2 linked regions of the Canis lupus familiaris genome follow. The protein of the gene in region 1 interacts with the protein of each later gene in a pairwise test. Links are inferred from orthologs where the notes say so. Each region holds a gene or a part of one and is shown on either strand. Other genes may lie near its edges.

Region 1 (3,321 bases):
TACACCGTATCTGCTTTATCCATTCATTTATCGATGGATACTTGGGCAGCTTCCATATCTTGGCTATTGTGAATAATGTTGCAATACACAGAGGGATGAGTATAGCTTTTCTAATTAGTGTTTTAGCCAAACTTCTTAAATCTCACACATCCTAATTTCACCAACTGGGAAGTAATAGACTACATGATTTCTGAAGTACTCTCAATTTAAAATACTAAATTTCTACCACTATAATATTCAGTTAGGTCCAATCTTTGCAAACCTTCAAAAAGAAATCTCTGAACAAGCACTAAAAGGGAGGGCACTACAAACAAGATTAAGGAAGAAATAGGATTAAACAGTTTCACCGATTATGGGAAATATATAGGAAAGACACAGGGAGAAGCATTTCTAGCTCTGCGAATGGGCACTGCTTTCCCGAGATTCCCTGAGCCCAAGTTGGGATCTAGTGGCTACTTAGCCATCTGAGCGCCAGCAACCCCTTCTCTACCAGGTATCTTGCCAGCGCGGATGCCCTCAACCACTTGGCAACCAGGCACACATCCCTCTCTGGGTTTTAAAACAATCTCCGAGTAAGAAAAATGACTTTGGAAACTCTTAAGGGCTCCACGGCTTGTATACTCTTTGAAAAAGTCAAGGTCACAAAAGCAACGGAAGTCCGAAGAACTGTTCCAGAATGAAGGAGACTGAAGAGAAAGGACATCTAAATGCAGTGCTCATGATCCTAGATTAGATCCTGGAACAGGGAAAACCGCTATCAAGGAGATTTGAAAGTGGACTGTGTATTAGATGACGATGTGGTAAGGACGTTAAGTTTCCTGATTCTGATAATTGAACTGTGGTTATGGATGAGGTCCTTCTTAGGAAAATATTTCCTGAATTATTTATGGGTAGAGGGGCACCGTATCTATAATTATATCTCCAACAAAGAAACCACATGGATAATACATATAGAAACAAGAAATGGCAAAGCAAATACAGCAGAATGTTAACGGTGAATGTGGATGAAGGGGGTATTGGGTTTCTTTGTAGGATTCTTGTAATTCCTCTGTAAGGTTGAAATTATTTCCAAATAAAGAAGCTAAAAAAAGAACCACAGGAGGGTGCTGTCACTATTTATAGTAAGACATCCTGCATTTGCCTACAAGGGGCTTTCCTTCTAAAAACTATGACAGAGAACCAATTTGGCTGCTCAAGTTGGGGGGCCCGGGGTTGTTCAAGGCTTTGCTAAGCTACATGACCTCCTCCTCTTCCAGGATGTGCCCTACGAGTTGCCCCTGAAGGATGAACAGGTCTGTGCCTGCAACTTCCCCACGCCGGAAGGTTTCCCGGTCAGCTGGCAGGCCGGTCCTTTACTGGCAACATTGTCCTTTACCACCAAGGAGAGAGGGAGAAGGCTTGCCCCTGTCATCAAGCTCAGAGCCGAGCTCAGCAAGTAAGATGTTGAACACTTTCGGAATGCACAGCGTAACACATGCCAAGCCCTAAAGGACTGTGAAGGGATGCTGTGAGAAAGAGGAGTAAGCTTCATGGAAGAGGCAAGACTGGCTGGTCCCTTGGAGGATGGGGAGAACCTGGAGTGTGCTGGCATTTCTGGGAGCTGGTTCAGCAAGAGCAAATGCACAGACGAAGAACAGAAAGGGCCTGAGGAGTGGAGAAGGGGCATCCGTGAGGAAGGAGAGTTGGAGATGAGGCTGTGGCTGCAGTGTGCAAGGGGTCTGAAGAGCCCTGACAAAGTGTGGTGGGCGCTAAGATAGCCGGGCCCCATGTGTGTGACACCCCACATGCTGCCCAGCTGTCTCTCGCTGAGGTGAGGGAGGTTCTGTCTAAAGGCAGCTGCAATGACAAATGAGCAAAAGCTGCAGAAAGTACTGAGCGTTCCCAGTACCAGTCCTGCGTTTCTGCTGATAACCAGCCAATTCCAGAATCTCGCTTTCCCCCAGTAACACGCATGGGAGCTAGTGAAGGCCCACGGAGGAACCAGGGCACCCGCACGGAGCTCCTCAGCCCCGGCAGAGAAGCTGATGGAGTGGGTCGGCCTGTGAACACCAACTGCGTACCTGAGGCTTGTCGACCACAGTGTGCACACGGTGGGGTGAAGGGGAGTGCACTGGTGTGCTGCTTCTGGCCGGAGAGGCCTCCCGGCTGGATGCACTCCGGACAGGTGAGCGGAATGGGGACGCTGCCGGCATGGGCCGGGGCTCCCAGTCGTCCCCCGGGGCCCTGTGGTACATCGGCTGGTAGGTCTGGTATTCACCCTGTTGAGCCGGGTAGTGGGTCTTCTGGGCTTGGTGGAAGGAAGGCTGGGCTGCTGGCCGGGCGACATTCTGCTCGTGTATCACGGGGATGGGGATGTAGCCCCGGGGGAGCTGGTGACTGCCCAGGCTGCTCCTGCTGGAGGAGGAGGGCAGGCTGGCTGTGGAGGACGACGACGAGCAGTCCGAAGCAGCTGGAGACTGGGATCGCTGCAAGACACAAAGAGTAGAGGAACGAGTGACCCTCTGCCCTGGTGCTCCAACCTTGCCTCCTTATGTGCCTGCTCAGGTAACACGTTTAATACAGCCTTCCGCTTATAAACCTTTCCATCTCCAAAATGTACTGCAAGGACCTGAGACTCCGGAGCCAAGTGGCCAGCATTCTAACTCTTACCAACTCAACTGCCTTTTTAAAAAATTAATTATTTATTTGAGAGAGCACTTGCTTGCACACAGGGCCAGGGCAGGGGTGGGGTGCAGCAGAGGGAGAGAGAGAAGCAGACTCCCTGCTGAGCAGGGAGCCTGATGTGGGGCTCGATCTCAGGACCCTGGGATCATGACCTGAGCCGAAGGCAGATGCTTAACTGGCTGAGCCACCCAGGCGCCCCTTCATAGCCTTTTGAGCATCTAAAGCATAGAAAAGATGCCCCTGCCACCCCGAGCTGACTAGAAGATTCAGTAAAATAATCCGTGGATGTGCTTCAGCTTCAGGGCCACACACTGATGTCTCTGGATGTGGGAAGCAGCACATGTCACGTGCCCGGAAGCTGGCCAGCCCCTAGACCACCTAGAAAACCAAGTGCGTGTTTCCCCAGCTGGCTTCAAAGAGCCCTGTTAGCTCCAATTTGATTAAGATTTATCTGATTATTGTGTCACTTTGGATTTTCACAACAAAATATTACAAATACAGGTACTCCTTCAAGAAAGGAAAAGAACAGAGCCGAAGAAGGCGGTGCTAACTCTGGCCACAGACACAGAGCGAGAATCTGTGTTCACGAGCAGCGCCAGCGGACATCAGCAGACAATCTGCAGGCAGGGAAACCGGAAGGGCTTACTGCTCAGGAAT
Region 2 (3,648 bases), on another chromosome or scaffold:
TCTGCACGGCGACTGGCAGGACAGGTAGAGGCGATCGGTGAATGGAGAGAGCATCCGCTAGACGACCCGGGATGGGGCGGGGGCTGGGTCCCCACGGGGGCTGGTGTGTCCACCACTTGCAGGAGCCAAAGGGTGGACGTCACCCAGGTGCCCGCGGACAGGTGAGCAAATGGCTAAGCACAATGGGATCTACCCACGCGGCGGAGGCTCGCTCAGCCTTAAAAGGACACCCTGACCCGCGCTCCAACACGGATGAGCCGTCAGGATGTTGTGCTGAGTGCCACGAGCCAGGCATAGGACAAGGCCTGCACGATTTCACGTATGGGAGGCACCTCAAGTCATCCAATTCACAGAGGAGATGGTGGGTGCCAGGAAGGGGTGGGGGGGGCAACGGGGAGCTGCTGTTTACTGGGTCTGGAGGTTCAATTTTACAAGATTTAAACATTCTGGTGGGGGGGGGGGGGGGGAGCTGGGTGGTTCAGTCCTTGAAGCACCTGCCTTGGTTTGGTCATGGTCATGGTCATGATCTCAGCATCCTGGGATCGAGTCCCTCATCAGGCCCCCTGCACAGCAGGGAGCCTGCTTCTCCCTCTGCCTCTGCCCCTCCCCCTGCTTGCGCTCCCTTTCTCTCTCCCTCTCTCTCTGATGAATAAATTGTAAAAATAGGGGGATCCCTGGATGGCTCAGCGGTTTAGTGCCTGCCTTCGGCCCAGGACATGATCCTGGGGTCCTGGGATCGAGTCCCACATCGGGCTCCCTGCATGGAGCCTGCTTCTCCCTCGGCCTGTGTCTCTGTCTCTGTCTCTGTCTCTCTCTGTCTCTGTCTCCCATGAATAAACAAAATCTTTAAATAAATAAATAAATAAATTTTTAAAATATCTTTAAAAGTTCTAGAAAGAGATGGTGGTGACAGTTTCAAGACCACTTGAATGTGTTTAATGCCATTCAACTGTACACCAAGAGACGCTAAATTTAGGTGACAAATTTACCTTATGTGTGCTTTACCAAAACAGTGGCAGATTTCCAGCATTATCATTTGGGGGGCTTGCATGCCCCTGACCCCCTTGCCACGTGAGATGGGGAGAAGTTCCTGGAGCGGGGGTCTGGCTCAGCACGACCAGGCTTTCAAACTCACTGACCACAGAATCGGGTGGGGAACTTACTGCCAATGTTGCCAATGCAGGTTCCTGGGCCCTATACCCACCCCCAGCCCCTACCGCTGAGACAGGCTGAGTCAGCAGGTCTGGGGCAGGGTCCCCAGAAGGCTCTTTAAGCTCCCTGTGTGGTTCGATAAAGGTGGTCTGCAGATAGTAATTCCAGAAACAGTGATATGATGGGGTTTTAGCCTCAATTTTCTTCATCCATAGATTAGTGGTTGCCAGGGACTGGGGGGATGGGGAGGGGTGGCTAATGGGGACGGGGTTTCTTTCTGGGGTGATGGAAATATTCTGGAATTGGCGCCGATGCTTGCACTGACACCATTGCATCAGACACCTTCAAAGAGTGAACCCTATGGAGTTAATGGGAATTGTATCTCAATTTAACTCTTTTATTTTTTACAACTGGAAGTAACACGGTTGCTGCCAGGGTCCCATGAGAGAAGGATAGTAAAGAACCTGACACTCTGGGTCACAGCGAACCCAGATCAAACCCTCGATGAAACACTCCCCTCCTTTCACACGTGGCTCCGGACTCCTTAATAGGTCCAACCCCCCCGTGACAGGGCTGGAGTTGGTACCAAGCCGGGGAACACTGGCCCAGGCTTTGCAACGAGTCCGGGAATCGAGCTGATACATGAAACAAAGATATAAAATAGTGCTAAAAAGAGCAAACTATGTGAAAAACATGTACAGGCGTTCCCGGTTACCAGAGGAGAGCCCAGAGTGATATAAATCATGAAGTCCTTAAGCATTCAGAATGTTTTTGCGTTTTGGCAAAGTTGCTTAAGCTCATATTTCTGTCAGAGTGACTCCCTTCTGTTCCTCTCTGCGGTGCTGAAATGCCGTTTCTATAATCTGTGTATTAGGGGAAATTAATTATTGTACTAGCTCTCAGAACTTAATTGTCCTAGAAAGACCTAGGAAGTCTTTCCTTCCAGAAAAAGCAGTATTTGAGCATACTATAACACCTACATGTAAACTGTGTAAAAGTCTTTTTTTTTTTTTTGGTACAGAATGAATTTTTGATCAGAGCATGATGAGTCTGAAGTCACTTTGTTCTCTTCTGTGTGATAGCGTCAAAGTTACTCGAGCCCGGGGACAAGAGCTCACTTTTATCAAATGACTCCTCAGAGAACTTCATTTCATCGGAACAACCCACTGAAGGAGTCACCTGATGAGCCCTATTTTACAGGAGGGGAAACTGAGTCACCAGGCAGTTAGGTGAATCCAGGCAGTCTGACCCACTGGCCTAGTCTCTGAGCTGGCTATTCCCTCCTCGGCTGCTTGTGATACTGAATCACCTATGCACCTGGGCGCACCTAGGCGCACCTGGGCAGCGGGAAGTCCCCAGGGATAAGGCCATGAAGAAGTAGCTAGAAGGCAGGGAAGCAGGCTGGGACAGCACCTGCTCAACCATTTCTAACTCCCAGTTGTTTCTGCTCCTTCTCCCACTCCAGCCCTGGCCTCAGGGCAGGGTCTGTCCCAGGGAGTGTCAGCAGGAAGGGTAGGGGCCTTTGAACGCAAACTCCCATTCCCCAATTCCTCTGGGATGACTGGTGGGCAGTTAGCACCAAAAGATCGGTTTGTGGCTGATGTGGGAAAGCTCATAAACTGTGCTTTATTGGGGAGAAGACATGAGCCCCCCACCCCCACCCCAGAGGTGGAACCCAGAAGACTAGAAGTGACATTCCAGGGCGAGGGGTCAGGCCAGACTGACCGGCACTTCACTTGGACTTTAGGCAGAGTCACCTCTGTGGCTCCCCTGATTCTCGCAGGGGCCCCAAGGCCAGGGTGGAGGGCGAAGAAGACAGGTAAGGGGGCGCGGGAGGTGGCACGTACTTGCATTGGCGTTGGGGACGGGCACTGGCTGGGTGTAGTAGGCTGGCGGATTCATGCCCTTGCCATCCGGGCCCGTCACCAGCCCCGTGGTCGGCCCTGGCGCAGGGGCAGGAGGCATAGGGAAGTAACTATTGACGGCCACCGTCTCTTCATAGGATGGCGGCGCAGTTGGCACCGAGGAAGGCCCAGCGGCCGCCTGGTAGGATCCTGGAACAGACATTTTACCTAAAGCAAAAGCAGAAGACACCAGATCAGAAATACAAGTGACACCTCTCTCTCTCTCTCTCTTTTCCATACCAATCTTCCCAATTTCTACCAAATGGAAAATAGGAAGAAATGGCTCGCGTGCAGCCTTGTCCAAAAACCAGAAAGGGAGTTAGCATCCCTCCTAGACCCAAGCATTATCACTGTAACGAAGGATTCCCTAAATAAAGCTAAAAGGTAAACAGTTACAACCAAAAATCATCAAAACCTAGAAGGTCCCAAGGGCACACATCGCCCCAATCAGAGCAGACGCTTCTCTCCTGGCGCTTTGAAACTACCAACCAACGACGGCCCCGTCTTTCACATCGAGTGTCGTCCTCTCCTCTTTAACCACTGTGGGTTTTTTTTTTTTTTTTACTAAAAGCATCTTAGGTGCCGGAAAAGA

What was found.
Region 2: the proteins of BAG3 (region 1) and LITAF interact in binary tests that used the Homo sapiens proteins (3 or more experiments, as listed by UniProt). The two-hybrid records come from large-scale screens. The link is inferred for Canis lupus familiaris from reciprocal best matches to the Homo sapiens genes BAG3 and LITAF.

What each region holds. Positions count from the first base shown.
Region 1 is NC_049249.1:30,109,142-30,112,462, reverse strand, and holds part of BAG3 (BAG family molecular chaperone regulator 3), read right to left. Parts: exon of another isoform or gene 3,166-3,321; intron 3,055-3,165; exon of another isoform or gene 2,961-3,054; intron 2,545-2,960; exon of another isoform or gene 2,466-2,544; coding exon 2,061-2,465; exon of another isoform or gene 1,944-2,060; intron 1,811-1,943; exon of another isoform or gene 1,257-1,810; intron 801-1,256; exon of another isoform or gene 494-800; intron 1-493. UniProt on the Homo sapiens protein: Co-chaperone and adapter protein that connects different classes of molecular chaperones including heat shock proteins 70 (HSP70s), e.g. HSPA1A/HSP70 or HSPA8/HSC70, and small heat shock proteins (sHSPs), e.g. HSPB8.
Region 2 is NC_049227.1:31,540,395-31,544,042, reverse strand, and holds part of LITAF (lipopolysaccharide-induced tumor necrosis factor-alpha factor), read right to left. Parts: intron 3,225-3,648; 5' UTR 3,220-3,224; coding exon 3,000-3,219; intron 13-2,999; coding exon 1-12.